Arabidopsis thaliana: one gene and its partners. The protein of the gene in region 1 interacts with the protein of each later gene in a biochemical or structural test. Each region holds a gene or a part of one and is shown in the gene's direction. Other genes may lie near its edges.

Evidence for each region.
Region 2: the proteins of CRY1 (region 1) and HBI1 form a complex in vitro, tested with the Arabidopsis thaliana proteins (one study listed by BioGRID).
Region 3: the proteins of CRY1 (region 1) and ZTL form a complex in vitro, tested with the Arabidopsis thaliana proteins (one study listed by BioGRID).

What each region holds. Positions count from the first base shown.
Region 1 is NC_003075.7:5,719,722-5,731,276, forward strand, and holds CRY1 (cryptochrome 1), read left to right. Parts: upstream 1-3,929; 5' UTR 3,930-4,538; coding exon 4,539-4,872; intron 4,873-5,039; coding exon 5,040-5,258; intron 5,259-5,341; coding exon 5,342-6,830; intron 6,831-7,180; coding exon 7,181-7,184; 3' UTR 7,185-7,547; downstream 7,548-11,555. Other genes in the region: APRL6 (APR-like 6), read left to right, coding at 9,790-9,954, 10,038-10,228, 10,321-10,445, 10,597-11,003; AT4G08940 (Ubiquitin carboxyl-terminal hydrolase family protein), read right to left, coding at 11,265-11,555.
Region 2 is NC_003071.7:7,950,724-7,961,166, reverse strand, and holds HBI1 (basic helix-loop-helix (bHLH) DNA-binding superfamily protein), read left to right. Parts: upstream 1-6,427; 5' UTR 6,428-6,720; coding exon 6,721-7,104; intron 7,105-7,182; coding exon 7,183-7,401; intron 7,402-7,479; coding exon 7,480-7,614; intron 7,615-7,703; coding exon 7,704-7,775; intron 7,776-7,850; coding exon 7,851-7,985; intron 7,986-8,076; coding exon 8,077-8,131; coding exon of another isoform or gene 8,132-8,145; exon of another isoform or gene 8,146-8,526; coding exon 8,527-8,621; 3' UTR 8,622-8,763; downstream 8,764-10,443. Other genes in the region: AT2G18320 (F-box associated ubiquitination effector family protein), read right to left, coding at 3,636-3,830, 4,504-4,539, 4,858-4,947. UniProt on the Arabidopsis thaliana protein: Atypical bHLH transcription factor that acts as a positive regulator of cell elongation downstream of multiple external and endogenous signals by direct binding to the promoters and activation of the two expansin genes EXPA1 and EXPA8, encoding cell wall loosening enzymes.
Region 3 is NC_003076.8:23,237,328-23,248,818, forward strand, and holds ZTL (Galactose oxidase/kelch repeat superfamily protein), read left to right. Parts: upstream 1-4,099; 5' UTR 4,100-4,269; coding exon 4,270-4,514; intron 4,515-5,344; coding exon 5,345-6,888; coding exon of another isoform or gene 6,889-6,929; exon of another isoform or gene 6,930-6,996; coding exon 6,997-7,088; 3' UTR 7,089-7,263; downstream 7,264-11,491. Other genes in the region: AT5G57370 (U4/U6.U5 small nuclear ribonucleoprotein), read left to right, coding at 7,484-8,143; VIN3 (Fibronectin type III domain-containing protein), read right to left, coding at 9,211-10,136, 10,200-10,504, 10,592-11,141, 11,421-11,487. UniProt on the Arabidopsis thaliana protein: Component of an E3 ubiquitin ligase complex that plays a central role in blue light-dependent circadian cycles.

The sequences.
Region 1 (11,555 bases):
TCTAGTCGATCAACAACCTCAGTTTTCTTCATGGTCTCGTTTTCTTCTACTAGAATAAAAAAAGAAGCGAGAGAGTAAAAGAAGATAGGAACTGCTGAGTGAGTTCTTGAAATGGGACGTACAGTATTTATAAGATATAAATTTTTAGGTTTAAAATATGCATAAAATATTAAATTGTGGAAGTCAAGTTTAATGATTATGATGAATCCCATAATTATAGGAGAATGTTTAGCAATTATCTTATAAGTAGTTATTTAATTATGTAAATTTTTCGGAAACTTTACGTTAATTCAAAAATGAATATCCAATTAAATATTTGATTACCTATAATTATGGAAAAGTGATATATTCAAATTTAAGAAAGGAATATACGCATTGAATATTTTTAATTAATATGATTCTGTTGCTGAAAAAGGAATTCGATTAATTTAATTAACAAAAATTAATATAAACCAAAAATATAATTAGTTTTATTTTTAAATGTTTAAACATATTTTTTCTATTTAATTATCAAAAATTAAAAAATAGTTTTGTTAAAATTATTTTTCCAGTTATTTAAATAAATTTAGAATATTTAACCCAATTTCGAATTCAAACATATTAATTCGATATTTATAATGTTATATCTATAAATAAAGCAGATTTGATTAGGAAATGTTTTAAAAAAATTAATTGGATTAATAATCTTTTAGAATAGAATAAATATTGTTGATATATGAGTATAATTAGTTTTCCAATTTTAAACCCACGTAATTATGAATAGTATTCAATAAGGGAATATGTTAATTGAAAATAAATAAAAATTCTCTCTCCAAAAATCTTGCTGTAAGATTTATTAAAAAAAATCAATGACTACAATTAATTCAATCGAATGGCCAAGATTATAACGTAAGTTAAGTGATTCTCAGTTAAAGGTATTTTTTTCCATGACATCAACATTTTAAACATATGATTTAAGGTAAAAAAAAATTTTAACTGAGAATCACTTAACGTACGTCTCAAATAATAGTGTAGATCAATTAAATATTGTTATTTTCATATTTACATTCTCATAACAAAAATAAAATTCCAATTTTACCCTTACCATCTCAATTAATTATTAATTTTAGATGATGTGACATTAATTTTATAAGTTTTGATAAAAATTAATTTATTAACATTTTATTTTATGTTGTCTCAAAACTTTAAAATTTCATGTTTCTCATAAATATTTTATTTTAAAATTCAACATAAGAAATTAGGAGAAAATCAAAATATTTAAAAATATTCATTTTTACAATCATATTACATTGTCACAATATCAAAGAGATGTTTTATCTTGGGATTCAATCTTCGATTCTAGATTTCCTCTATTAATCGCTATGAGAATCGACAGTAAACAATTTTCGTTGTCCTGTTTTGCCAACATCAAATTTGATAACCGTTCATGATCTCCTCTTAATCCTATCCATAATTTTAATCGCCAATAAAATTAATTTGATCTCATTCGTCGTAATGAATATGATATCAACGAGCATTGATATGAACTTCTTCTTCGTCGTGAGAAACTTACTATTCGAATTTAAATACTTCACAAATAAAACTATTTTCGACAAAATCTTAATCCGATCTCATTGTCTCTCTTAAGATTGATCAATTCATAAAAATGTTTTATTTTTATTTTTATTTTTAAAAAGTTTTTTTTGCTTTTTTCTCTTGAATTTTAAAAAGCAAATAATATAGAAACAAAATATTAATAAAATGTAACTTTTAAAAATTAAATAAAATTAGCGCTTCATCACCTAAAAATTAATAGTTAATTGAGCTAGTAAGGATAAAATTGGAATTTTATTTTTATTTTGAGATCGTGAGTATGAAAATAAAAATATTTAATTGTTTGTGTATTAAATTTTACAGTTTCTTTTGTATGTGTATTGTTTTTCCAACCGAAAAGTTTTGGATATTAAACGTTCAAATATAAAATAGTTGGAGTTTTGTTTGGGAATTTTCACTAGTAATAAAGCAGAAGTTTTCTAATTTATTATATCCATATATAACTTTACTGTCATTATGGTACTCTTCTATGTTAGATTGTATATATTATAATGAATCAATTACGGATTTGCCATTCTCTTAATTGTATTTATGAATTTTTCCTTTTTGAATAGTTTGTAAATTTTGCCCTTTTTGAGGTTACAAAAATGTGATTTAAGATGCGTTTTACTCGTTATATTTAGGTTTAGTCTTTGGTATAAGTATGTATTTTAAAAAAACGTAACGAGGTACATTTTTAAGTGTTAAAAATAATAAATCCGTAAGATTTTAGGAAAAATATCATTTTCACAAGATTTTTATAAAAAAGGCAAAATCAATAATAATCTCTATTATTTTTTGTACATACATATAATAAAATAATAAGCTCTTTCTAGCTATATTATGAATACTCCTACGAGCAATAAAATAATAAAAGGCACGTTATTTACACTCGAAAACAAGCTAATTTAGAGGTGGTCGAGAGCAGATATCATGATTGTTTTTTTTAATGTATGTAATCCGTTCATTTGTGTCATCATTATTCATTTTTATATTATTTATCCGCTTTGTTAAATATATTTTGTCTGATGTGAATTAATTGTTGAGCGGTAAACCAATCATGAAGTTATCTTTAAATTAATGTGTTATTGATAAAAAAAAAAGTAAATTAGTTGTAAATTTTTTTTTTCGTCAATTTGTTGTATACTTAATCTGATGAATATTTATGATTTTCAGAAATGTATGTTTGTATCTTCTAATTTTTACCCACAAAATTCAATGTCCTACGCATATGATGGAATTTAACCAAATACAAGTAGCTAGTTAGTGATTCTGATTTGTTATTTTTTTTTATGTAGGTCTAAGTTATAAATCAATTTTCTTCGAACCTAAAATATATTTTTAACCAGCTCTCAGTATCATGTTTAAAGCTATTAAAAAATTTAAGTAGACGATTCGACAACTACGCTCACCCTAAAAAAATAATCAGATGAAAAAAATCTAAATCTAAACTATCAAACATATTAAAAACAATTATGAAGACTATTCGACAACTACGCTCACTATAAAAATTAATCAGAAGAGAAAAATGTAGATCTAAACTATCAAACATATATGTGATGGAATTAAAATTGGGTAAAGCCGTAAAAGAGGTTTCATAATTTTGGATTAGTGATTTGGTAACTTAAATTGACTTGTCAAGGGAGTCTTAACTCTATCATGAATCAAGATAAACACTCTCCACACCAAAAACAATATATATATATATATATATATAGATAACATAAAAAGTCCTAAAATATGTTAAAAGGCAAGGAGGGCCAACCATATCCATCTCTCGCCCACTTTTGCTAATATGTCACTCTCTCTCATATCCTAACCTTCCAATAACATTTCAGAACCATCCTCGGTACATCATTTATATGATTTCTCTATTATCCTTAATAATCAACTTTAAAAAAATAAAAGAATAAAATTAAGATATCATTTGTTTTACCAGATAAACCGATCCGATTCAAACTAAACCATATTGATATTTATAATCCAAAAACCTCAAATCCAAAACTATACCAAATCATTTATTATATCATTTTATTTTATCTGAATATACCATTTTTCATAACACAGAAATTTTAAAAACCTAAACGAAAATCGAAACGAATCAGAACCGAAATCCGAATTGAACCATTTGATAATTAACCAATAATCGTCCCACTAAAATCCAAGTGTATAAAAAATCAGTTTAATATTTATATGTAGAATATGTTCTAGAGAATTATAGTATAAGATTCTACATTTTTTTTTTTTTTTTGAACAAAGAAAAAAGGAGAAATTTTAGGGAAAGGAGTAGAAATCTTGTGAGTCACAGTTGATTTGGTTCAACTGGATTGGGATAATATTTCAAGTGGAAAGAAATAAATAAAAGTTGTGGTGGAAAATTATTCCAATAAATCTCGTCGTGTGAATTGAATCATTATTCCTAGTGTCAATCTTCTTCACCTCTCTCTATCAACCTCCAATTTCTTCTTCTTCTTTTTTTTTAGATAACTTATTTTTATTTTATTTTTCTTTGATTTTTCACTTTAAGACAAAAATAATAATTTTATATTTCTACCAAAAATAAATAATAATTATAATTTAATAAGAGATAAATATTTTTTCAAACTGTAACCTAAACAATAAATAAATTAAAAGAGAAATTAATGCAAATATTGCTATATTTTTGGGTTATTACTTAGAGACTACTTTGTCCAAAATTAGGAAAAATCTTTTTGGGTGAATAATTCCCAAAAGTATAGTTGCATTTTGCCAGAGAGGCACTCAGAGAGAGAGAGAGATATTCGTAAAGATAAGCTTTTTTTTTTTTTTTGCCTTCTCATCAAAAATCTTTTTTTTTTTGTTGTCTTTCTTCTCGAGAGAGATAAGTGACCAAAGGGTTTCGATTTCTGGAAATAGTTTGAATAAAAAAGTAATTTTTATGTGATTATTGGCAAAGAAAAGTTTTAGTTTTTTTTAGTTTGTGAGAGATGTCTGGTTCTGTATCTGGTTGTGGTTCTGGTGGTTGTAGTATTGTATGGTTTAGAAGAGATCTTAGGGTTGAAGATAATCCAGCTTTAGCAGCAGCAGTAAGAGCTGGTCCAGTGATTGCTCTGTTTGTTTGGGCACCAGAAGAAGAAGGACACTATCATCCAGGTAGGGTTTCTAGGTGGTGGCTCAAGAACAGTTTGGCTCAGCTTGATTCTTCTCTTAGAAGTCTTGGTACTTGTCTTATCACCAAGAGATCTACTGATAGTGTTGCTTCTCTTCTTGATGTTGTTAAATCCACTGGTGCTTCTCAGATCTTCTTCAACCATTTGTATGGTCTGTTGTTCCTCTTCTCTTCTCTCTTTATCTTATCTTTGAATTTGCATGATAAAAAGATTTGATTTTTGTGATTGGAATCATCTTTTCTCTTATGGGTTATGTTTTGTTTGATGTATTTGTGGAATAAGATGATCTGGAAATGATAAAGTTTTGATCTTTTTCAGATCCATTGTCTTTGGTGCGTGATCACCGAGCTAAAGATGTTTTGACGGCGCAAGGCATAGCGGTTCGATCATTCAACGCAGACTTGCTTTATGAGCCATGGGAAGTGACTGATGAATTAGGCCGTCCTTTCTCTATGTTTGCTGCGTTTTGGGAGAGATGTCTTAGTATGCCTTATGACCCTGAGTCTCCTCTTCTTCCACCTAAGAAGATCATTTCAGGTTTGTTTCTTTGCCACTCTCTCTTGTGGGTTTTCGTTTTTTCCAAATCTGTATCATTCAATAATGTTTCTTTTATGTTGCAGGGGATGTGTCTAAATGTGTTGCGGATCCATTGGTGTTTGAGGATGACTCTGAGAAAGGAAGCAATGCACTTCTGGCTCGTGCTTGGTCTCCTGGATGGAGTAATGGTGATAAAGCTCTCACAACGTTTATAAACGGTCCATTGCTTGAATACTCTAAGAACCGCAGAAAAGCCGATAGTGCTACAACCTCGTTTCTTTCTCCACACTTGCATTTTGGGGAAGTGAGTGTGAGAAAAGTTTTTCATCTTGTTCGGATCAAACAGGTCGCGTGGGCAAACGAAGGAAACGAGGCCGGGGAAGAAAGCGTGAATCTTTTCCTGAAATCTATTGGTCTCAGGGAGTATTCTAGGTACATAAGTTTTAACCATCCATATTCCCATGAAAGACCACTTCTTGGCCATCTAAAGTTCTTCCCTTGGGCTGTGGATGAGAACTATTTCAAGGCATGGAGGCAAGGCCGGACTGGATATCCGTTGGTCGATGCCGGGATGAGAGAGTTATGGGCTACTGGTTGGTTGCATGATCGCATAAGAGTAGTTGTTTCAAGCTTCTTTGTTAAAGTGCTTCAATTACCATGGAGATGGGGGATGAAGTATTTCTGGGACACACTTCTTGATGCGGATTTAGAAAGCGATGCTCTTGGTTGGCAATACATTACCGGTACTCTCCCGGATAGCCGGGAGTTTGATCGCATAGATAACCCTCAGTTTGAAGGGTACAAGTTTGATCCAAATGGTGAATACGTAAGGCGATGGCTTCCTGAACTCTCTAGACTCCCGACAGACTGGATACATCATCCGTGGAACGCACCTGAGTCCGTTCTTCAAGCTGCTGGTATCGAGCTTGGATCAAACTATCCTCTACCAATTGTAGGATTAGACGAAGCAAAAGCACGGCTTCATGAAGCGCTTTCACAGATGTGGCAACTAGAAGCTGCTTCAAGAGCTGCAATAGAGAACGGATCCGAAGAAGGACTTGGAGATTCTGCTGAGGTAGAGGAAGCTCCTATAGAGTTCCCAAGGGACATTACAATGGAAGAGACTGAACCAACCAGACTCAACCCAAACAGGAGATATGAGGATCAGATGGTTCCAAGCATTACTTCTTCTTTGATCAGACCTGAAGAAGACGAAGAGTCGTCTCTTAATTTGAGAAATTCAGTAGGAGATAGCAGAGCAGAGGTTCCAAGGAACATGGTTAACACCAACCAAGCTCAGCAGCGGAGAGCAGAACCGGCTTCAAACCAAGTCACTGCTATGATTCCAGAATTTAATATCAGAATTGTTGCAGAGAGCACTGAAGACTCAACAGCGGAATCTTCCAGCAGCGGAAGGAGAGAAAGAAGCGGAGGCATAGTCCCCGAGTGGTCTCCAGGGTACTCAGAGCAGTTCCCTAGTGAAGAAAATGGTATTGGAGGAGGAAGTACAACGTCTAGCTACTTGCAGAATCACCATGAAATACTGAACTGGAGACGGCTTTCACAAACCGGGTATGTAACTCGCAAATCCGACTCTCTCAACAATAAGTTCACATAAAGATTCTAAACATTTTCAAATTGAAAGTCTCCAAATTTTCAGTAAGTTTCAATCTTCCTACACAATTCAAATAAATCGTCGATGCGCGTTGTGCTTGGCACACTTGTCTAGCCAAGTAGTATCAGTTTTAAATTGAATTTAGCTGAAAAGTTTTGAACTGTTTTCAAATCCAAGTGTTTGCATTTACAGTAGACCACAGTAAAAAAATTAGTGAAAGTTTCTATGTTTCACAGTTCAATTGGAATTTGGTACATTGGTCTAACCAAGTGGCATGAAATTTACTGTGGTATGTTTGGTTTTACAGGTAAAAAGTGCATTTGGAGGTGCAAAAGGAGAGGAACATCATAAGGGCTGTAACTCCGGTGAAATCTGGTTGGACTGTAAACCGAGTACATTTGGTACGGTTTAATGTAATTCCGGTTATGGGGCTGGAGAGAAACTATGTAGGAGTTTGTCTGATGTACATTTTTTATTTATCTCTGGTTCCATCATGTTATAATACACTGTATAGTAAGTAGTCTGTTGCTTGTGGTATTAGACCAGGTCTCATACTTGTTGGCTTTCAAAGTTTTGGTTATAAGTCAAACAGATGCCAATTCTTAATCTTATAAACATATATAGTTCACATTTATTTATGATAAATGACTTGTTAGTGTATATGAAACACGTACGTCTACTTCCATATAACGAGAATCCGAATAGGTATGTATACTGATAGTAGCCTTCGACGTCACGAGCTTCCCACAAAATCTCGTGCTGATTAGAAACTAGACAAGACCACGATCTCAGTTATAATCTCTGCTGGGCCTAATTCGCGTCTGAAAAAACGTGTCTCACGAAACTGTGAATAACTTAATGAGCTTAAATCCAAAACAACTTCTATAAAATGGAAAACGACGATGAAAGACTTCGAAATAACTCTACCAAATTTCGTTACCTTTGACAACGATTTGATATGTTGAAACTGTTTCTTCCCCAATCCTAACGATTTTGATCCTTCTCCTTCTCTCTCTTTTTCTCTTTTACAGAACGAAAAATGACTAACCAAAGCTCTAATTCGAGTTTCCTTCTTTTATAGGTACACTCTAGGGTTTCCATTAACCCAACCGATTAAACCGGGTGATTTAAACACAAACCATAACCGATTTTCCGGTTTACGGGCTTTACACAAGAACTATTCCTTAATGATCTCTTATGATCCATCCCAAACCGAATCTCTATCGGGAAAAATGTCATTTAAATCATCACTTTACCATTTTCGTTGGTTTAAATCATGAACTCTCGATCTGGTGATTTAAATCCTCAATTTTATGTTGACGTTTAATTTAATCACGAATTCTCGTTAACTAAGCCAATTAAGACACATCGTTAGAAATCTTTCTAATCAAAATTTCTGAGTTTTTCTCTATTTTTCTTCAGAATCTCTTATCTTCTTTGGAATATCTCTTCTTCTTCGAATTCAAAGTAATCTTTCGTCTTTAGGTCGATTGAAGACACCGAAAAAAAAAAATTGTGCCTCAATTGGCTTAGTCAACGAGAATTTGTGATTAAATTGAAAGTCAACATAAAATTAAGGATTTAATTTACGAGATCTAAAGTCCATGCTTTAAACCAACGAAAATGGTAAAAGGATGATTTAAATGACATTTTTCCCAATCTATATCTCTTATGATGTGACACGTCGTAGTTAGATTTGATTCATCCTCTGTCTAGTTTATTGTATTTTCCGAGTGTCTGAATAATAGTTACCATCGAGAAGTACTTTATAAACTTCGTATATCTTTTTCTGTTTGATGAAAGCATATTTTAAAATAAACACGTAAATAAAGCATTTTCTGAAAACGAAAACAACAAAAGGGAAAATACTCTTTAAAAAATAGAAAAGTGTTTAACATAGTCACACTTTTTCAATTACAAATATTTTTACGTAGCTTTTTATTATGTGCGTTCATTTATTACTCATATATTTCCAAACTTGTTTATTGTTTATTTGCTAAAAACATTATTTCTCTTATACATAATAATTATGTGAAAGTATTTAAAAATTTAGTAAGCAAATATATTAATTTAACAAAATATTTATAGAATTTAACTTTATCACTTTCCTTGAAATATTGTTGGACTGTCTCATTATTTATATATTTGTTCTTTATGTACATAATAATAACTCTTCTTTATGTATTTGTTCACTAATAACTTTTCATATAAAAATATTTCAAAAATATCGTTTAATCATAATTCTTCTTTTCTATATTGGTATTCATAAAAAATCTAACAATCTTTAAAAAATATTTACAATATAACATAAAATTAGATAAAATTTATGTAACACTTAAATTTATATCATAATAATTTAATACATAAACATAATCAATGAAATTTTTTCAATACAAAATTGTGTTGAAAGTGAGTTTTCCAAAGCTCATAGGCTAGTGGATACTAATATTTAAGAAAAAGAAAAAAAAAAAAAGATATGTGGTCGGCTTTCTTCCACCGCAACGAAGTTGATTGACTCTGAGAAATCTCTTTTTTTTTTTGCCTAATTATGATTATTACTTTGTGTATCTGACGTCTCAGACAAATTATTTGAAGCCAAAATATTTGTTTATTTACGAACTATCCAGTTGTGTTGTGTCGTAAACTGCCACTTCTTCTTCTTTCTCAGACAAATTATTTGAAGCCAAAATATTTGTTTCTTTACGGTCATCAAATCAACCGGATCATTTTTTGGTTTATCTTCCTTGTCCTATCTTCGAATTTGGATTTTAATCTTTTTGGTAAACGCCATTAAATTTTTGTTTCTTGACGACAACGACTTGTCAACCTTTCTTTGCTGGCAACACCTACCTTTGTCATGTCTGTATAATCCTAGTTTTCTCCAAAAACGTTTTGTCTAGGAAATTTTCTTCTTCGATGGAGAAGAAGCTGACTTTGTTGTTGTTGGTTGTGGTGGTTTTGTTCGTAAATCTAACAAACGCCACCGTTAGGGTTCAGATTTGTCCTAGAGAATCTGCAAAAGATTATATCTTAGGGTTTCGAGATAAGTCAGCCTTGCATCGTCCTGGTTTTGTCACTGAGGTACTTTTAAGAATCATTGATTTATCTACCATTTGCTTTCTTGATCTGAGTTTTGTGATTGATGTTTTTGTTTGTTTATGAAGGGAGATGATCGGTGGCTACAAATGGCTGCAGATATGGTTGATAAGAAGAATAAGTGTGACTATGCGGCTTTACTCTTCTATGCATCATGGTGTCCTTTCTCCAGATTAGTTAGACCAAGTTTTGATCTTATGTCTCTGTTATATTCATCGGTTCCACACTTTGCAATTGAGGAATCATCAGTTAAAGCTAGGTGGGTTTTGTATAAAAGACTGAAATCGTGTAATTTGATTGAGAACTTCATGGTTTGATGCTCAGTTTTTTTTGTGGTGTGGTATGGTTCAGTACCTTGTCCAAGTATGGAGTTCATGGGTTTCCTACTATCATCCTTATGAATTCGACAATGCTCGTAGTTTACCGGGGATCGAGAACTCTTGATTCCCTTGTTGCCTTCTACACTGATGTTACGGGTAAGGTATTTGAGTTGTTACTTTGGCTATATCTTTGTGTTGTTGTGTGCCTCAGTCTTGTTGTGGTTGCTATTGTGCTCCTGTTATAGGTTGTATATACCAATTAAGATTTCAGCAGATGAAACTAACCAGGACAAATTCATTCATGTAGGAATTGAAACGATGGATGAAAGATGGGTTGAGAGAAACAGATTAGTTCCTCATTTCCACGCAGAGCCAGAAAATTGCCCGTTCCCATGGGCAAGAAGATCACCCGAGAATCTGCTTCGCCAAGAGACTTATCTGACGCTTGCCACGGTGTTCGTCTTGTTGAGATTACTACACTTGATTTCCCCCACAATGGTTGTGTTCGTGAAATTCACTTGGGGACGGGTGTCAAACATGAGACTAGGGAACCCCTTGGAACATACTGTGACCATGTATCTTAAAGAACCTTGCATGAGTAGCAATTTGCAGGAAGGAGCCATGAATGCTAGAGCATGGGCTTCCAAGTCTTTGGCTACTGTCTCAATTGCAGAATCAAGCTCATCAAGCAGAAGTGTTTCAGCTTCACAGTGACTTCATATTTTAACCATCTTGTATAATAAACACAACTGTTCCTTAAACCAATGAGGGGCTTTGATTCATAGCTAGCTTACCAGTTTGTAGCAAAGTGTAAAATGCTTTCAGATTACAACATTGTAGCTCAATTCATTATGTGTCAATCTTAGATCATAACTGATACTACAACTACTTGAGCTCTCTTTCGAATAGAGTGATCCAAGACTATCGAGATATAATATCTCTCTGCTCAATCTATATCCATTATTTGAGCCAGAATTAACCAACTTGCTCCATCTGCTGCATATCTGCATACTTATAGAGCTTTTCATTAAACACAACCTGTGGATCTTTACTAACCAAAACACCATTCTCGTCGTAAGCATCCTTCAAAAACACAGTCCAGTTCATCTCAGTACCAGCCAAGTAAAAACTCATGGACTGCTTCTTCAACATCTGATAAGTCTGTCTAGTCAAACTAAACTCATCTTTAAACTCCACAATATGATGAATCGAAGCTCTCTTCTCCAACGTCAAGTTCAAGAACTCGTGCACAATCCCAACGCGATA
Region 2 (10,443 bases), on another chromosome or scaffold:
AATTTTATATATAGTAACATTATACATATCAGTATACTACATAACATTTTTGGTTTTATATAATCTTTTCTAAATTAGGATGATTTGATATGTTTCATATTACTGGTCTTAAAAAATAATAAATTAAAGATTTAACCCGTATTGAAACGGTGGAGTAATTATATTTTATTTTTTTATTAATGTTGATTCAAAAACCCGTCCCTCCAAATCCGTCTTGCCAAAAAGCCATTTATTTTATTAATATTAATTTTATTTATGATATGACTATATTTATAATCTAAACATTTTAGCTAATAACATAGGAGTGCACCATATTTATTTAATAGAAGAATGTACCATATGACCCGAATACACTTATACCCAATTCCACCAAAAAGTCTTGCAAAAATACTATAGAGATAAGAAACGATAGTCGGTTTTGATAGGTATAAGATTAGCAAATATATTAGTTAGCTTAAATTACTTAAGTTTATCATGATTAAGTGCTTTCTGGGTCGTCTCATACCTTATAAATTCGTCCTTAATCTCAACATGTAAAGGGGCTTGAATCGGTATTTTGTTTAGGGAGAAACCCTACTAAGGAAAGGATGTCCGACACCTCTTTCTTCATTTATCATCAGAATGGAATGGAATGAAAGCCAAGCATCTACTAGCTGCCTAGCCAGTAAGGGGGAACGCTCCTGCTTAGTACAACCAGAAAGAAAGAATGCAGAGTAAGGCCGGGAATAGGCTTCGTAAGAGGACTGTTTGAGGTACTTTGGAAGGACAGTTACACCCATGCCAGCGGAAGACTTAGGATAAGCGGTCACTACCATCTTATTACTATGGGCTAAGCAGATACTATCACCTTAATAGCAGCAAAGAGCCATAATTGAATCACGAGGCTTTAGCTCCGAGGAAGTTTAGAACAAATTGAATTAGAATTGACGTAGCGAACCAAGCCTCTGCCATTTCAGAATCTCCTTGTAGAAATTGTAATATAGTATAAAAACTTATATAACACAGAGATTTGATAATTTTTTAATTGTTGAATACTTTTTTTGTGCTAATTTTTATGTGATTAAGATTTAATTAATTTTATATATTAAATATTAAATTGTTTTACGAACTTATTTGTTTATAATTTGGTAACAGATATATATTTGAATATTCGGTATATTTTGCTTCAGTTTAGGAAATCTTTGATGACCCGTCTTTAGATCCAATAAACTTTATAATTAAGAAATGAATATTATAGTTAAATGATTTTGGTAATCTTAATGACGTCATTAAAGGATTTTGTTTTTGATTAAATTTTTCTAATGGCATTGTCATGTAATTAATTACAAAAATTAAGGTTATATTTAAAATGTACTTCCCAGTGGACATCTATTTTATGGGATGGAGCTATAGAATCTAGAGTTCTTTTTTTTTGCTGTAGACATTCATTTGTAAAAGTAAACGTACATGCATATAACAACAAATATATGCGTCTAATAAATGAAATAAAGGTCCACATGACATAATAACATGCTACAAAATAAAGTTCACATCTCTCATAACATTTAAATGAAAGATAAAATTAAAACTAACAAAAAAAACTACATTACTATTTTCTTAATTCAATTGTGTCATCTACCTAATTCACTCATTAAATTTTGTTTTGTGATCAACATTTTACTATGATCCACCTCGTCATGTGCTACTCGTATTGGGTATTCGTTGTTGTTCTATAGCCTATATGGACCAAACTTCGCTGCTAAAGTAAGGTTTTCTTATTTTATTTGATCAGATTCCAACTTTACATGATCCCTTTGAAAAGTTCCACAGTCGATGTTGTTAAGATGCTCCCTCGTACTCACATGCCCACGTAAATTATAAAACATTTAATTATATGGAATCTTGATTTTTTTTTTTTCAAATTTAATATTATTTGTCAGGGTTCGAGTTTTCCCAATTTCAACTATCTATGACCATCCGTAAACGTTTTCACTGACCTGAAATTTTTATAGATTTTGGAAGATTATATAGTAAGACTTTGGATAGTCCTCGGTTAACAAAAATAATAAAAAAAAATGAATCTTTTAATTTGAAGATAATGAAAATTGTTTAGAAACAGTGGTTACTATGATTTCACCTTTTAAAGAAACGAAAAAAACGAATTTTATTCACTTTTTCATAAAATAAGAATTAAAATTTTAAAATATATATAAAGTAATAACTTTGTTAAAAACTTCATTTTAATTGTACAATTTATTGATCAAAACATTTAAATCTAGTGGTTCAGATTGGTATGTTCATTGTATCATCATCCAAAATTCAAACCCGCATAATGTTATCTTCATGGTTTTTTTTGTTTTTAGTAGATAGCATATATCCAAGAGTTTTATGTAGATTTTTGGTTATCGAATTTTCGACAGCAAAATTTAATATATAATTTTTAGTTAAATTTCATAGAGCATTGGCTTAGCCATCATGAGAAAACAATCTGTAAGATAACTATTTGAACAATTTAGCCTTTTTAATGTCGACTTAAAAACCCCTTAGGAATCAAACACATGCATGTTTACTGGTGGTGGCGCTATGAAACTAGTTGTGGGAGTGTGGCAACAATAAGTTCTTCAACTTTTTCTTGCAAAGGAATTTGCATTAGTTATTTACCATATCTGGTCCAGATCATAATTATTCTAAGCTTTTGAATACTTTTTATTTTAAGATATAAACTAATTCAATTTGTCTCGTAATCGAATCAGAAGCACAAGGATTCGTCCGGATAGAAGGGTATTTTATTTGGTGCCTATTTTTTTGATTAAAAATAAGTAAATGTTGATATTGAGGTTTGTAGTATAGTGTTTATATATATTTATAGACTATAGTGTTTCAATTCTATATATTTATTAATACAATTTAATTTTTTAGTCCTCGTTGAAGTTGGGAAATTATGAATGAAAGAAGGATTGTCCAAATAAATAAAACTGGATTTCGACTTGGTCACTTGGAATATTGGATATATGACATGCAATACAATGTCGTCATAGAAGGAACTTGTGACCATTTATTATTATTTTGTTACATTTGTTTCACACGCACTGTTGATTACACTAGGCTTGACTTCATATGTTTGCATTGGATGTAAGGCCCAACATCGAAGCTTGTTTGTAGTCGACAGTTACTTCCTCTACTTTGAAAATTAATGTAAGCGCAACATTGACTTCATATGTTTGCATTGGATATAAGGCCCAACATTGGATGCTACACTTTGAGGTATTACTATGAGTACTAGAACTTTGAATCTGTTCATCATGCCGATTGCTTTCATTTCAAAATTCGAACATATCACCTTGTCTCCAACTCAAGCTCAAAAGAAAATAATACAAGAGTTTTCAAAATACTACTTATGACCAAAATTAATATTATATTAGTCTTGTTTAAAGGACATTGCAAAAGAAAAGGAAAAAAAAACGAATGAAAGTTGAGCTTTTTTTATTTTCTTTCTTTCTAATTCAAAGAAGAGTTATAAGTTATTAATAAATTGTAACTCTTGTTGTTTCCTTTTTGACTAATAGTGTAGTGTTAGACCTTGTTGTTAACTTGGTTCGCTTTCACTTCTTCTCTTTCCTAATTTTGCTCTTCCTCTTCCTTGATTTTCACTAAACTTAGCTTGGAACATAAGAGCTGGAGCACACAATTGGGCAAGAAAATGTTCTAACTTCTCCAAGATCCAATTTTTTCAAGCATATATTCTCTCCAATGATGTAAGCATATTTGTAGGCTTGAGATTCATCTAACTCAAAAACCACGAAGACTTTCTTCTCTTCATCAATGAAGAAACCGCAAGTCTCTTCATAAAACTGAAAATCAAGAACAGTGAGTGGTTCTATATCAACTTTTAAGAAGGGGGTCCACAACACCACTTAGGGCTCAATCTTAGTTATAATCCAAATCTCTATCACAGGGATTGATATAACACCGAGAGTTTCTCTTCTTTAACGCAAGATAGAGTTTCATTATTGTTATCATCCTCATGATGCTGAAATGGCAGAGGAAGAACCTGTCCAAATCTCTCTGCTGTAAAATCAAAACATATTAAGAAATATGGGGTTTGAAATGGATCACACCCTTTCATTCTTTCTTGAGTCCAATAGTAAGTATTTCCGGTTATTAATACTTAACCCAAACCAGAGAAGTGTTTGGATTGTGGGTTAACCGGTCGAACTGGAGGGTCCGAATTGGACGTGAAAACACTGAAAAAAAAGTAATCTATTTGTGTATCAGACTGTTACACATAACAAAAAAACATATAAGCTTTTGTTACTGGCATCGATATTGTTATTACAACGGTTCTGTTTGATATTATCAGTAAACAAATTAGAAAACTTTTTATCAAAAAGAAACAACTTAATATTGTTAGACAGATACATCTTAGATGTGAGAAACCTTAAGAATTATATCATGACTTGTATTTTTTAGGAAAAAAATCATTAATGCAGCCAATGTTATAAAGTTGATTCAATTTGGTCCAACTATGTAGATTGAAAGTAATGACTTTGTGCTATATTGCTACATGTATAATATTAACATAACTAGCTAACTTTTTCACAATGGAAAACTTATAAGAACTTAAATCCAAAAAAAAAAAAAAATCGCTCGTTTTGCAGTTCTTATGAATGTGATTGAAATTTGGAAGTGGGTAAACTTATAACTTTAATAGTATTACAACAGTGAATGGAGAAGGACACTATTAGGGACAATGTTCCACATCGGAAGTTAAGTAGGATCTTAAGTGGTATATATAAGATAGCGGCCTCTCCACCTATTGCCAATTGGTTTTAGGTTGGAAGCCCACACTCTAATATGGTATCAGAGCCCGATCCGCACATACTCAACCCGATCCACATCGGTCCGGCCCAATACTTGGCCCGCCGATCCATGCCCAAACATATCGAGATCAATGGCTAGAAGAGCCATCATCTCGAGGGGGCGTATTAGGGACAATGTCCCACATCGGAAGTTAAGTAGGATCTTAAGTGGTATATATAAGATATGGGTCTCTCCACCTATTGCCAATTGGTTTTAGGTTGGAAGCCCACACTCTAGTAGACAGAAGAATATGATCAAACACTCTGATCAAAAGCAATGGTCTCCTACCTTCCAATCACTTATCTTCAAACCCATTGTTTTCTTTATATATTTTAAATATATTTTGATGTCGCTTTTAATTATTAACATGTCATGTTATAGATTAATTTCTAAAATATTCAATGGTTGGTGGTATACTGTTCTTTGTTGTCTTGCTGTATTATCTATCTACTCATGGATTTTCGTTTGATTCTTTTATGGAAAACCCAAGATGACAAGATCTTTTGCATGATCTTGTCTTGTGTCTTTATTTCAAACTAACTGAATATAGTTAGTTATATATTATTGTTATCAATAAGCTGGAGTAGCTCAGTTGGTTAGAGCGTGTGGCTGTTAACCACAAGGTCAGAGGTTCGACCCCTCTCTCTAGCGATGTTTTCTTCTTTTCAGTTTTTTTTTTTTTTGTACTGATACAATTACAATTTACAACACAAAATACAAACTATTAGACTACATGTCAATAATGTCATGATGCAAATTTTGCGGTCAAACTTTTTTTAATATAAGTTTTGTTACATGGATTCAATGTAGTTTGTTTGGGTTTTACTTTGTAAGTAAGTTTTATAGAAACAATCAATTTTCTGAATTTTAGTTTGGATTGAATTCAATTAATTTGACTATTCCAAATGTCAATATATGTTAAGGTCTCACTCATTGTTTATTTTTTCCTTGTAAAGCTCCTCTCATAAACTTGAAAGGGCAAAAAAGAAGAAGAAAAAAAAGAAAACATAACACACACAAAGAAGGGATAAAGAACCTCTAAATTTAGTGTTCATAAGGACATGCCCACATGGTGTGGGTTATGTCACTTAGACCCTACACCTTCTCCTCTCACCTTCTTTGCTCCCAACCTTTTCTTTTATCAATTTATGTCCCTCTCTCTCTTAGATACCGAATCTTTACTACTATTTTCCGCAATTTGTTCTTGAGCCTCTTTTTTCTCCTAGTCATAGTCAAGTGTCTCTAAACGATGGACCCGATTTATCCACCAACGCTAACGTTTAATCTATCTCACTGTCATTTGTGACTATCACATAGCTACAGTACGACCATTTTCGTAAACTTATCATAAAAGATCGGTCTCAAATCCGATACAAATGTTATGTTGAACATCTACGTAAAATAGAAAACTATTGTTATTGCTATATATTTTTTAAGGGATACGTATAAAAAAGTTGTGGCGTATAAAAAACGTGTGGTACCATTTTGAATTGGTAAGAGAGTATTTATTTCTAGAGAGGTAAGAGATAACAAATAAGTAAATGAAATTTCTACATTTATAAAGGAAAATAAAATAAAAACATAAGAAGTAGGGGACCTTATGTGTGTGGGTCAATGTTGTTTTCTATTTAAAGCTAAGAAGAATGATTTCAATGGATTAGTTTCTCCCAACTCTTTCATCTTTTTTAAGCAACCACCCAAAAACAATATTACATAACCTAAATCTCTACTTCTTCATACATTTATAGCAAATCCTCTTTTGCTTTAAACCCACCAAATAACTCAGAGCTTTTTTGCATTTTTTCCCATTCTCTATTTTGTTTTGTACTTTTGGTCTCACTTTAAAAGATCATAAGTTGAAAGATTTCTGCAGAGAACAATATGTTGGAAGGTCTTGTCTCTCAAGAAAGCTTGTCCTTAAACTCTATGGACATGTCTGTACTTGAAAGGCTTAAATGGGTACAACAGCAACAACAGCAACTGCAACAAGTTGTGTCCCATAGCAGTAATAATTCACCTGAACTTCTTCAGATACTTCAGTTCCATGGAAGCAACAATGATGAGTTGTTGGAGAGTAGTTTCAGCCAATTTCAAATGCTTGGATCTGGTTTTGGACCAAACTATAACATGGGTTTTGGTCCTCCACATGAATCCATTTCAAGAACAAGTAGCTGCCATATGGAACCTGTGGATACAATGGAGGTTTTGTTGAAGACCGGTGAAGAAACCAGAGCCGTTGCCTTGAAGAACAAGAGAAAACCAGAGGTTTGTAAGATCAAAATTTTGGATAAAAACTTTGTTTTGAGACATGGTTTTTGATATTTTTTATTAATAATGTCTTAGGTTAAGACAAGGGAAGAGCAAAAGACAGAGAAGAAGATCAAAGTAGAGGCTGAGACAGAGTCAAGCATGAAAGGAAAATCAAACATGGGAAACACTGAAGCATCTTCAGACACTTCAAAGGAGACATCGAAAGGAGCTTCAGAGAATCAGAAATTAGATTATATCCACGTGAGAGCTCGTCGAGGCCAAGCCACTGACAGACACAGCTTAGCAGAAAGGGTAATAAAAATAAATAAGTTTCTTGTGATACAAGAATCATGATATATCTAGGGTTTCTGAATGGATTTGGATTTGCAGGCGAGAAGAGAAAAGATCAGCAAGAAAATGAAATATCTGCAAGATATTGTGCCTGGATGCAATAAGGTCACAGGAAAAGCTGGTATGCTTGATGAGATCATCAATTATGTTCAATGTCTCCAAAGACAAGTCGAGGTAAGCAATGAAACCATGATTCTCTGTAACTTAACTTCACTATTAACCAAAGAGAATAAGTCTAATTCTTAAAGAGCCATACTTTGCAGTTCCTGTCGATGAAACTTGCTGTCTTGAACCCGGAACTAGAGCTTGCCGTGGAAGATGTATCCGTAAAACAGGTGAAAACACATTGTCTAGACCCTCAAAGTCATATTGATATTGCTCAACAAACTTAAGGGTTATGAAATTTTCAGTTTCAGGCTTACTTTACAAATGTAGTTGCTTCAAAGCAATCAATAATGGTTGATGTGCCATTGTTTCCGTTAGACCAGCAAGGATCTCTAGATTTGTCTGCGATAAACCCGAACCAAACGACATCTATCGAAGCTGTAAGTACAGCTTTATATGAAACTGAAAAACTTGTCAGAGTTTTTGTTCCTTGTCAGTGAAGTAACCTGTCTCTGTATCTCTCTATTTCAGCCATCTGGAAGCTGGGAAACTCAATCACAGAGTCTCTACAACACATCTAGCCTCGGTTTTCATTACTAAGCAAGATTCATTGAAACAACATGGTTGACATCAATCAATCATCAAAATCAGAAGCAAATTCTATTACATTTGCTCATCAAAGTAGTAATTTCGAAATTTGGTTAATGCATTATCCTTTGATCCTTGTTTTCTGATATTTAAACCAGAAGAACTGGAGATAGCAATCCAATGATCTTGTCACCATCAATCTTTGTGTATAGATTATATAGAGAGATAGATAAATATGTTTTAGAGGAGTTATAGATATATATCATATTTGTAGAAGAAAGAGAGAAAACTCTTGTGGTAATTACAATTCTTGTTTGTTTTTTTGGATATATAAATATCTAAGAAAATTATAAATCGTTTTCCTGTTTTTTTTTTCTGCAACGAATATCTAAGAAAACTCTTGTGGTAATTACAATAAAATATCTAAGATTCTATTGTCAACGAAATGTACCCATCAATATGTTCCCATTCGAAGGGTATGGGTATAGAGTTATTAGGTCGCCATGATTTTTTATAAATCGGTGGAAGAATACTTTTGATGATCAAAGTAAACGGTATCTAGGCAGCCAATTAATCAATGTCGATTTTATCTTCACATAAAATTTTATTCATTGAATACAAATTATTTTCTAGCTATTTAATTTATGTAAAATTAAATCGATCATAAGAAAAAAAACTAATAGCTTAAACAGATGTTGTCTTTAGTTATTTTGATACAAGATTGCATTGTATTCTTTAAAAATTCATAACCAACATCATGGCGTTGAATTTGGATGTTGAATCCGAATGATGACTCTCAATGCACATTTAGATGAAAAGAAAAGAAAAAAATTTCGTTTGGAAACAGCTCATCGACTATTCACAGATTCGGGAGAGGTTATTCATTTATTCTTCTATTTTCTTGCTAAAGATTAACCATATATTCGAGTAGGATTCTTGTAAAAAGCAAACATCATCAAATGTGAAGTATGTGTCAAATAAAATTTTGTCAAATAAAACATCATCGAGTAGGATTCTTCTATTTCTATTTTTTTTTTGGATATTAGTTAGTGTCAAATAAATTTTTGTTAATTTAAAAACTACACTAGTAAACATTTTTATAACAAATAAGAAAATTGGATTCTCGAGTGATGGCAAATTCATGAATTCTTTATGAAATTGGTGAACATATATAAAATCGGACGTTGTTTTAAATTTGTTTCATTTTTAATTCAAAGAATGATATTTTAGACGTTTGATCATTGTTGTCTTGTTGATGCTACGATTGCATTCAAACTCTAGTTTTCATTACATTCAAAATATATCTAATTTTGCATTCGGATGCACCTACATATATAATTTTACAAAGCCAACAACATTCGTGCATCTATATGAAGAAACCAAAGATCCCTTAAGTTTCTAGCTTATTATTTTCTTTTCCAACTTTATCAATGCACTACAAAATCTACTACACTATGCTACTATAGTGATATGTATAATGTTACTGATGCTGACACAAGCTCTCTATATATTTATCACAATATGTTTTCTAAAAGTAGCTTTCAAGCTACCAAGTGGGTCAATGTTCTTTTCTCATATCAATTTTTCCAACCAATGATCTATTCATGAACTGTCTGATTTTGACAAGATCTATATGATAAGATATTATCCATAACCAAAAATGAAATTGGAAGTAGTTTTTTGAAGGTAGGAGTAGTTAAGAGATTTGAGAGGATCGAAGAATGAAGAATCTGAACCACAAAGAGTGGGCATCATTGTGGTTGCAGAGATTTTTAACCAAAGTGGACCTTCTTTTGTTCTTTCGGTTCCATTGAATTTTATCTTCCTTCATTTTTGAAGTAGTTGAAAATCTCTTCTATATTATTTTCAAAAAAATTCGAAAAGAAACAAAATTAGAGAGGTGTCGTTATCAAAAATAATGAAAGTCTTTGTTATTTCTGAAGTTAAACCATATATACAAAAAACAAATATAGTTTTAATATCTAAATATAAATTCATTCACTTAATTATAATTTTTAATCTCTTTTTTTTTTGTCTACTCATATTAATTAGAATTCAAAAGATTCATTCATGAAAAATATTGTTTACATATGTGATATGATGCGGTTCGGTACAAACTTTTCGTGCCATTATCCTATAATTATTAACTATATAGTGTATAATTGTATATGTAATCTTAAATTTCTTAAACACTTACATGATACATTATATTTATGTCTTTTATATATTAACAAGAGAGTTAAAGAGATTTTCAAATAAATTATATGTTTAAAAGTTTTAGAAGACTCATGGTTGTAAAACTCATGGTTG
Region 3 (11,491 bases), on another chromosome or scaffold:
TAAAGGTGCTACTGTGCTAGTCATATTTTACGGTGATGGACCTGATGGTTCTGTTACTAACTTTAGTTACCATCAATGGTAAAAATCAGATGCTACAATAATATCCTGACACGTGTACATTCCTTTAGCTAGTATCGCGGAAGTGTAAAAAGACCGATTCTTGAAAATAATAAAATTGCATTTAAAGCTTTCAGTAGATTTATAGACAAACAAGGAAAAACAAAATAACCTTTTAGTAAATTTTCTTTGCTCTGACATGTACCAGAAAAAGAGAGGGTTAATGACATACGTTTATCTTTTTTTGTCAACGGTGTGAAGCATAAGATTATTCTTTTCTTCATAAATGGACAATCAATATACATAATTGTGTTCATATAAAACAAATCTATTTGAAAGTTTTTGTTGAATTCGGTTCCATATATGTGTAAGAAAAAGCATAAACGTTATTTAAGATCAATAAAGTTCTTATAGACAAATGAAAAATGCAACTTGTGGAATAACACTTGTTACTTTTTTATTAGTGAATCGATATGATCCAAACGTATATATAAACCGTCTACAATATATATTAATTTTCATTTATAGAAGTTGACTTGTTATTTCACAGTATTTTTCACTTTTGACGGTTTGAATCGCAAGCATTGGTAGTATAGTTACATCTATTTCGTCAGTCCGAGAGATTTTACTTGCTATATTGTCCATATATATGTTCTATTTAATTTAGTCTGTTTTTACTCATAGATGCTCTCAAAACTTTATAATGATATGTTTTTACTCATAACTCATGTTCAAAACTTTATAATTATATGTTTTACTCATAACTCATGTTCAAAACTTGTCTCTTTTTCTGTTTAAGTGCTTAGTGCACATCTGCCTACATAACAATCACGCATGTTTACACATAGAAATTGTGTTCAAAACTAAAGGGTTTTTCTCTATAGTAATATTTCTCTTTAACGTTTATCCCTAGGCCCTAGCAAGTAATATTTCTTTTCAATATGTAGGTATTCTACTTAGTTTAGATACAAATATAATTATGAAAAAGAATTAGAAATAAGTTGGATGGTGGGGACAGATTACGCAGCGTTGCAACATATGTAACGTGAAATGATGGTTCGTACAACCTCACGTACACAATCCACTCAAAGTGACGTAGTGTCTTTGGACTTTGCCTTCGATGCATCTCATGTTCTCCTGGTCCCACGATCCTACCTCAATTTTAGATCACACAAACCCATCCCAATTGCTTCATAAAGGTTGTTAGTTTTAGTAAACACACTCAAAAGTGTTGAAATTATAATATTACATATTTTGCTCAAAAAGAGCTAAGGCTTTTTAAATGTACAAACAAATTCTCTTTTGTTATATATTTCTAGATTTGTCTACTTTAAACGTATGATGTGTTTAACACTTCTTTCAACAATATACGTGTATGAATAAACATGTTTTCGACATTCCACTTATGTCAATATCAACACATAATTTTATGGCTAAGCAGTAACCACCAGCTGCTGTGTAAAATCACACTTTAAAAAAGTTTCTTTAGCCTACATCTCTACGATCATGATGCATTGGCAATAACAAGATGACAACAAATTTTACAAAACAATTCTCATACCATGTGGCTTAAGAGAAAAGGCCAGCGAATTTATTCGAACCCAACATATATAGTGAAGATGTCTTTTTCAATCTCTTTTTTTAACAAGTATACTTTTTTTTTTTGGTAAATTTCTTTTAGTGAATTTACTTTCATCTTGAATCATTCTTTTTATTTTCAATTCAGTTTTGTTGATAATAGATTTTCATGAACGAACAAGGTTCTAAGAGATAATAATAATAAAGGGGGAAACAAAACACATGATAATAAGAATCTAATAAACAAGAGAAAAAAGAGAGGTGATGAATAAATGTAGAAGTCGAATCATACAAGAGGTGCTTGTTGGAAGGTCGTTGGACCAACGCTTATTGTGATATTCATGTTCGTATTCTCTATGTAGGTTTTTCTTTATATCTTCCCAGCATATACGTAGTTATTTAAGTTTCTTAGAAAATTACTATACATTGAATATCTGAAACAATTAATCATGATATTATGGAATTTTTTTTCTTTCAAAATTTGTATAAAGAAAAAGGAATTTTATAGTGGGGGCATTTTAGCATCTCGTCGAAGATATGAATGAATAGAGAATTTTGCAAAGTGTAAAGAAAACAACCGACCAAACCCACTTGTTCTCTCACGTCCTTTTTATGTGTTAAATTGTCATACACAAAAAAAATATTTACAATTATAATTTTTCTAAAGTCTTTAATGTCAAAATTATATGATCTATTTATATCAGTAATACAAATGTAAATCGCTATATTTTATATTTTTGTTAAAAACTAAATACCATAATTTAAAAGAAATATTTTCTTTTTCTTTTTATTTGCGAAGATATTGTTTAGTCGTATGGCATTGTATTAGTTACTTACTTAGTAGTTTTACAGAACGAGGTGAAGAATGTCGGAAAAAAGAAAGAGGTGACGAAGAATTTTGACCAATTTGCTACTTTGTAAGGGAAATATAATACAAAAAAATTGTATTTAGCATCATTACAAACAATTTCTCCATTTTGTTTTAACTTTTACTATCAATTTTATTATTTTTATACGAAACTTATAATTAATAACACGAGGTAAGCCTGTTTTGTTAAATTGAGTATGTCAATTCATTTCATGAGATAATAACCTTCAAATAAAGTTCATAAGATAGTTGCCCCATATCGGTAACTTAGGCTTATAAAACAGTCTTATTATTGGTGATATAAAACAGTACTTAACTACTTATATATAAGTACTTACAACTTATTCTTATTATTGTTGATATAAAACACTAAAGTTGGGTTAAATCTTAATTCCAATTCAGCTGTTTGATGTTGGTTTAAAAGTCTGTTTGCACCTATGATTCTATGATATACCGAACCGATTCGATTAACCAGTAGTTACGAGAAGTTATTTGTTTCAACTAACTATCTATTGATTTGATGTAACTAGTTTGGTCCTCTGCGTATAAAAGGAACATTACAGAAGAGATTAAATGATAGGCAATTGATAATTGAGACGGTTCAAGAAAAGATTTAGCAACCAACAACCTTAACAAATTTTCATTTACGTAACTATAATTATAGATCTTGCTATTTTTCCATTTTATGGCGTCTTCTTATTACGAAACTCATACTATTCAGTCACATAATCTCATTTACTGGACTATAATGGGCTTTATTGTAATGGGCTTTATTGTAAGACATGAGCCCACAAATTTGGAAAGTAATAAGCTTCAGCTCAGCTAAAGAGAGTCTAAAAACCAAAGGGAAAAATGTCATTAAAATCCCCAACTTATTGAAAAAGTTGATTTAAATCCTCAACTTCCAACGAAACGAAATAAATATCAAACTTTTGTTGATTTTCCAAATAAATACCAAATTTTGGTTGACTTTCCAAATAAATATCAAACTTTTGTTCGAGTAGCCATATTAAGTATGACATTAACAGACCCTGTTATTAGAGTCCATTTTTTGTTAACAGACTCGTTAATTGAAAACGACAATATTCCCTATAACAATAAAACAACGTCGTTATGTCATAAATGCTCAATTAAATCCCAATTTCAAATCATATGAAGATTTAGGGTTAGAATTTTGCTTGATTTGGAGATTTAAGATTGGATTTGGGAATTTAATTCGGTCGTTATAATAAAACGAGGTCGCTTTCTTGTTATAGGAAACAATAACGTTTTAAATTAACGGATCTGTTAACAGAAAATTAACTCCGTGAACGCAATATGTTAATCTACTTAATATTATACCTAATATGACCATATATACGAAAGTTTGGTATTTATTTGGAAAGTCAACAAAAATTTGATATTTATTTCGTTTAGTTGGAAGTTGATAATTTAAATCAACTTTTTCAATAAGTTGGAGATTTTAATGACATTTTTCCCAAAAATCAAGGGGAGTTTTATGGTTTTATCTACTTGACCCGACAGAGAAATCCGGACCCGGATAAAATCCGACCCGTTCGAATGAACTCATACGGCCGAGATTTTTCCACCAAACTCGACGGTTACCACTCGTTTCTTTGTCCACCATCTTCTCTCTCTCTCTCTCTCAACCCCCGAAAATCTCCTTTTCCCAAAATTTTCCGATTATCTCACGCCGGATTGTTTTTCAATCGCCGTCTTCATAATCTCCGGCGACTGAAATCAGTCTGGTAACTATTTGAATTTTCATGGAGTGGGACAGTGGTTCCGATCTAAGCGCCGATGATGCTTCGTCACTGGCGGATGATGAAGAGGGAGGTCTTTTTCCCGGAGGTGGACCAATTCCATATCCCGTTGGGAATTTGCTTCACACGGCGCCTTGTGGATTCGTTGTTACTGATGCCGTTGAGCCGGACCAACCTATTATATATGTCAACACCGTCTTCGAAATGGTTACAGGGTATCGTGCTGAGGAAGTTCTCGGAGGAAATTGGTTAGTTGTTTTTTTGTTATCTTTGTGATTAGTGTTCTAATTGATGCGAGGAATTTCTATTTTTGGTTATTGGCTCACTTTACCAAATTTTGGCTACTTGGTGGAGTTTGATTAAGGTCCGTTTAGTTTGAGGATAGGTGAGGAATGTTTGTGATGATGGTAATCTGAAGGACACTCTATTGATCACTAGATTTAGTATGGATGGATACTTTGGTGGAGAGAAAACAAAGATATGTCTATTGTTAGATAATCATTAGAGTCTCTGCCAAATGGCAGAGAAGACTCAGTGGAGTCTCTGTGTGTGCCTAAGTATTCTCTGCCTTCAGATGTTTATTCAGTGATTGTAGTTTTCATATTAATCGAGCTCTCATGGCTGTTTTTGAGCTGTTTCAGCTGCTCCGCATGTTAAGGAAACTTGAAAGTGTATATAGATGCCGAGATAAAGCGAGCTATCCCTGTGTAGTTTCTCGGGGTCGTAGCGAACACAATAAATTCTTTACAATGTTGATGTGCAGTGAACCAGTGAAAAGGCTAAGTCCAATGCGTTTAGTTGTGTGTTAGTTTTCCATGAGAGAAGTGCTAGTAGCTTCCTTTATTAATAAGCTTTGATCTTACAGGAGGAGCTGATCAGTTCAAATAGTTGTTATTCTTGAACAGAATGAAAATCTGGTTAGGTTATAATTATGCTTGTTTGGTGTATTTGTTTTTTTTTTCAGTCTCTACATGCACGGCCAAATATTTTGTCTATTGCTTTTCCGCATCAGTAAGTTGGAGATAAATTTTGTTTTTGGTCTTATATTGTTTCTTAATTAATTTCTCGGATTCTGCAGCCGCTTCTTGCAATGTAGAGGACCGTTTGCTAAAAGAAGGCATCCATTAGTTGACTCTATGGTTGTTTCCGAGATAAGAAAATGTATTGATGAGGGCATTGAATTTCAAGGCGAGTTGTTGAACTTTAGGAAAGATGGATCTCCGTTGATGAATAGATTGCGGTTGACTCCTATTTATGGAGACGATGATACTATTACCCATATAATTGGAATCCAGTTCTTTATCGAGACAGACATTGACCTTGGACCTGTTCTTGGATCTTCAACAAAAGAAAAGTCAATTGATGGGATATACTCAGCTTTAGCTGCTGGGGAGCGGAATGTTTCCCGAGGAATGTGTGGGTTATTCCAGCTGAGTGACGAGGTTGTGTCTATGAAGATATTGTCACGCCTGACACCAAGAGACGTTGCATCTGTTAGCTCTGTGTGCCGCAGGCTATATGTGCTGACAAAGAATGAGGATCTTTGGCGAAGGGTTTGTCAGAATGCATGGGGAAGTGAAACAACACGGGTATTAGAGACTGTTCCTGGTGCTAAAAGACTCGGTTGGGGCCGCTTGGCTAGAGAACTGACCACCCTTGAAGCTGCAGCTTGGAGAAAACTTTCGGTTGGAGGTTCTGTTGAGCCTTCTCGCTGTAATTTTAGTGCTTGTGCTGTCGGGAACAGAGTTGTTCTGTTTGGAGGAGAAGGTGTGAATATGCAGCCTATGAATGATACCTTTGTTTTAGATCTGAATTCTGATTACCCTGAATGGCAACATGTCAAAGTGAGCTCCCCTCCTCCAGGACGCTGGGGCCACACGCTCACTTGTGTAAATGGCTCCAATCTGGTTGTATTTGGTGGCTGTGGTCAGCAAGGTTTGCTGAACGATGTGTTTGTCTTGAATCTCGATGCTAAGCCGCCTACTTGGAGGGAAATTTCGGGTTTGGCTCCGCCTCTACCAAGATCATGGCACAGCTCATGCACCCTTGACGGAACCAAACTGATAGTCTCTGGAGGCTGTGCAGATTCCGGCGTTCTTCTAAGTGACACGTTCCTCCTCGACCTTTCAATAGAGAAACCAGTGTGGAGAGAGATTCCAGCTGCCTGGACTCCGCCTTCCCGGTTAGGCCACACACTATCGGTTTATGGAGGAAGAAAGATCTTGATGTTTGGTGGTCTTGCTAAGAGCGGGCCTTTGAAATTCCGTTCGAGTGATGTCTTCACAATGGATCTAAGCGAAGAGGAGCCTTGTTGGAGGTGTGTGACCGGTAGCGGAATGCCTGGAGCAGGAAACCCAGGAGGAGTAGCACCACCACCAAGGCTAGATCACGTTGCAGTTAACCTCCCTGGAGGCAGAATCTTGATATTTGGCGGCTCAGTGGCAGGGCTTCACTCAGCGTCTCAGCTTTATCTACTTGACCCAACGGAGGACAAACCGACTTGGAGAATACTAAACATTCCAGGAAGACCGCCTCGGTTTGCTTGGGGACATGGCACTTGTGTTGTGGGAGGAACACGAGCGATAGTGCTAGGTGGTCAGACCGGAGAAGAATGGATGCTAAGTGAGCTACACGAATTATCACTAGCGAGCTATCTCACGTAACCAAAGAGAGCCTATGTATGAAAGAGAACCCAGCCATAGAAGAAGATGAAAAAGGGTTCTCGGTTAGGATACTGGAGCTTTAGGGGAGAGCGACTCAGTGGTGGGACTTTGGTACTGCTCATATTTTTTAAGTCCTTCTTCTTCTTTCTTCCTCATTAGGAGGACTTTTAGTGCTTATATAATATATATAGTGAAAATGTCATCTCTCTCTTTCTCTCTGTAGTGCTTGTTTCTGTTGTTCTCTTTGAAGTTTGAGAAGTGCATTTGTGTTCATATTCTGTAAATTTTATTTATGATTACAAACTTTAATAAGATCCTTTCTCTTCTTATGCTATTGGACCACTATTTTCATTTCCAATTTCATACTTTTAGTTCGGAGACAAAATGAGATTATTATTATTTTTCCATTGAGTATGATGAATATAAGAAAATTGGAAAAATAGAGGATAAAACCCCAAATTTTCATTTTAATAGAAAAAATTGGGGAAGAAAATTTACAGTGTTGAAATTGGTTAAACCCTGACACTAGCACCTTCCTCAGTCGCATCACCACCATGTCAGAGCGCGACCGCCGCGAACGAGAGAGGGATAAGGACCGTGAACCAGACCGTGATAGACGCCGAGGTAGAGACGACCGTGACCGTGACCGTGATCGAGACCGGGAAAGAGATAGAGAGCGCGACCGTGACCGAGGGCTTAGAAACAAAAAATCCCGATCTCGTACTCCAGACCACCACGCTCGTGCTCGCCACGTGCGCTCTCCGGAGAGGTATCGCTCTCGTTCCCGCTCGATTGACCGTGACCGGGACCGGGACCGTCAACGACACCACAGGCGCAGGTCTCCTTCTCCAGATGCTCCGTCGCGAAAACGGCCTCGCCAGGGTTCAGTAGACGATGAGAAAGAAAGGAATCGCAAAAGAGTAGTGACTGATTCCGTTGACGAGAATGCGTCTACTATTACTAAGAAGAAGGATAAACAACCAAGTGATGCTGCTGATAATGGCGGAGGCGAAGATGAAGAAGGAATGGATGTGAATGAGATTGAGATGATGAAGATGTTAGGGATTCCTACTGGATTTGATTCCACAAAAGGCAAACCAGTTGCTGGTGCTGATGTTAGTGGTATTAGAGCTGTAACTAAGCGTCAGCCAAGACAGTACATGAACCGTCGCGGTGGATTTAACCGTCCTCTACCGGCCGAGCGTAATCGCTAGTCTTCTCAAGGTTAGGCTTTCCACTAAGCTTCCCAAGTTTTTGTTCTATCAATTGGAAGATAGGTTTAGCTCCTATGTGTAGTATGATTAAATTAGATAGGACTTAGTTCTTAGACTTGTTGGCTGCATTAGAAAATGAACTCATCAGCATCTTTTCAGATAATGGATTCTAAGTACTCATCAGGTTCAGCATTTTGCTTTCTCTATATTACTCACTTGTTTTGCTTCTCAATCTAGTTCACTGGTGGTTGTTTAGTTAGATCTATACCAGAGATCTTTGTTTCAGGTGATATCCTCACAAGCTCTATATACAGATAGTTCACTCGGTTAGTTTTGTTATCTGCATGAAGAACTATTTTAGTTAATCCAGAGGAAATGGAACCAGTCTTGTGTTTTTTAGTTTTCTTGCCTTGGCACATTTGAATCTGCATCTTACAAGATCAAGTTGTGCGAGTTACTGCGTAAAACCGATCATTCCACCTATGTGCTGGTATTTACCAATAGGTCTCAACTCTCAACAGCTGAATTTAGAATTTACTTGCCCTTGGATCATTTACTCTGATGAGATTAAGCAGTTTCGGTTTTTCTGATTATTAACTAGAATCTTTCGTGTCTCTGCATCCAGTTTTTGTTTTCGCATTGATCGATTTCTGCTCACCAACCTTTGAATATATCTTGCAGGTCCCTCTAACGCTGTCTTGAACACTAGTCAAAAAGATGAGGGCTAGAGCTGCATTTCCCAGATAGTAGTTACTAGTTACTCCAATTCTTCCCCAGACTCTGTTCTGATGTCTTATAGAGAACAAACTTGTACTCTCTGAATTTGGTTGGAAACAACTCGTGAGTTATTTCTTTTTCGAGATTTAAAAATGTTAATGTTTGTGTGTAATCTCCCGGCTCTAACTGTCAGACTATGGTTCATTTGAAATCAGGCTTATTCATTTTTGAGTTTTTCACTAAGCATCAGAAAGAAATTGGAAATGCGTACTTACATAATTTCATTCCAAAATTATCGTTATGGTTTACAATATCAAGCGAGTTAATAAATAGACCGATTTCAAAAGCTTTTAATGCCAAAGCTTGAGGCAGATCCCAGCAGGTACTACACCATTTGTCGATGATCTCTTACTCAGTATACTTTCTGAGAATGTATCCACAAGCTGTTGTCCCAAAGAAGACAGATCCTCCATAAACGTCTCAACAAAGATCTTCACAACTCTTACTTCTCGGTGAGTAGCTCTTAAGCTATACCATGTCAAGAACCTTTCCCTAAAACTCTTGTCTATATGTCCTTCTTCCTCTAAACATCTAATCGTCTTAACAATATGACCCAAGTCTTTATCTCCTACTCCATTTGCGGCATTATTGATCTCAGGTTTCTCGTTCAAGGATACTGTTCTTGATTTGAATCTTTTATTCCCTCCTTGCTTTCCTTTATAAATATCTCTCTTGCAGGGTGTTACAAGCAAGTCTCTTCCATCTATCTTGTTTGCTTTCCTCTTTACAAGCCTCTCTTCTTCAAGCTCAGATTCTACTTCTCCTGCACTACAGTGTTCAGTGTTGTCCTTGTCACCATTTCCTTTGCTGCAGCTTTTATTGACATTATTAGATTCATCTTCTGGTAAAGATGGATTACTACAAAGACCACTGCTTGAGTTTGTCAAAGGGCTTTGCTGGTCCCCAGCTTCATCTCCATCATCCTTCAACGTTGTGAACCGAAGCTCAGACTCATCTAAGTCACCTTCCTCGTTAAAGGAAACCACTCTGAGACAGAACTCGGTGTCGGGTTCAAGTCCTTGGATGGCAGACGTCGTCTCAGGTAGATAAACAACACAATTCCCCTGAGACGAGCATTCTTCGTCCTTCGACTTTCGACAAAACAACCTGAAACCTGTGATCTTGTTTTGTGTAGAAGAAGACGGCTCCTCGGAGTCTACTCTCACAGTGACTGATCTTGCTTGAATCTCTTCTACTCTCACGGTCATCTTGTCACCTAACAGGAACTAAAGTCAACATCTTCGGTTTTAAAACCAAAGTAATGTATGAACACACTAACCTTGTCCTGAAACAGATTCTGATGGTGAGACCACTTTGTCCAGAGCTTCCATTGCCTGAGAACACAGCTTCTGGACATGCACACCCGAAGAAAGTCTATTGACGATGCCTCGAGCCATCTTCATGGCCCAACCCGACAACGGACCCACATCACCTTCGAGCTTCTTCACCGCCTCATCCATAAGTTCCAACAGATTCCGATACTTCGTGGTACCTCTCAACAGCTTCTGTCCTAAAGAAAGACGATAACAAAGTACATCCACACGCCGCGTCTCTTTCGCCACCTTCACTTGTTTTCTCCAGCATCTGTAAGCACTCGCATACACACACATTACATTACATTCTCTTTTCATTGTAGTATATCCATAGATTTCAATATCTAAAGATCCTTACCCGAGCAAGTCATTATCTTTACCGCAATACGCGCAATAAAACCTACCATCAAGATCATCACTCCCAATCCCATACCTATCTTGCTTCAAACCACATTCCAAATGACAAGACGATCCACAAGCATCACAAGTAAGCCATAAACTAGGATCCTTATTATCATCAAACTTTTGACAGATGCAGCAAGAACACCTTCTGCAAAACGTATCATCGCATCCAAGCGCAGCTCTACAAGCTAAATTCTCACAGCAAATGATGTAACCGATCATCTTCTTCTCCTTCTTCCTCGAGTTTCTACGGTCAGAACAAGAGGTCTCTCCAAGAGGACGAGACACAAGATTCAGAAGATTCTCTATGAGCTTTGGTTTGTTAAGACCAGTGTACTTCCTTTCTTTACCCATCTCAGCACATATGATCTTCATGATCTCATTTCTGCTCCATGAATTCAAAAGCTCCGAAGCTTCTTCAGGCTGGTTAGACAATGCGTGGATCAATTCTCTCCTTTCACTTACATTCAAAACGTTTGGTTTACAAGTCTCAATGCATTCATTATCTGCACCATAAAAGACCAATCCTTTAGCCCTAGATTCTCCTCAAGATAAAAAGGAGAGGATCACAGATTCTGACTCTTTTTGGGGTAAAAATGATCAAAAGTATAAAACTTTGAATGAATCTCAACAACCCAGAAACGAAATATCAACAATGACGACGAATCCAATGCGAGAAATAAAACGTTTGTTGATATTGTGTAAAAACGTCGTCGTGTTAACGACCTAAAACGCATGAAACTAGGAACAGTGAGAGAGACGTTCACGTCGAGAAAATATCGTACCTTCAAACGAAGAAGAATCCATGTTCTCTGGACCCACATTACCATCGAAACGCCAGATCTTTGAGAGCTGC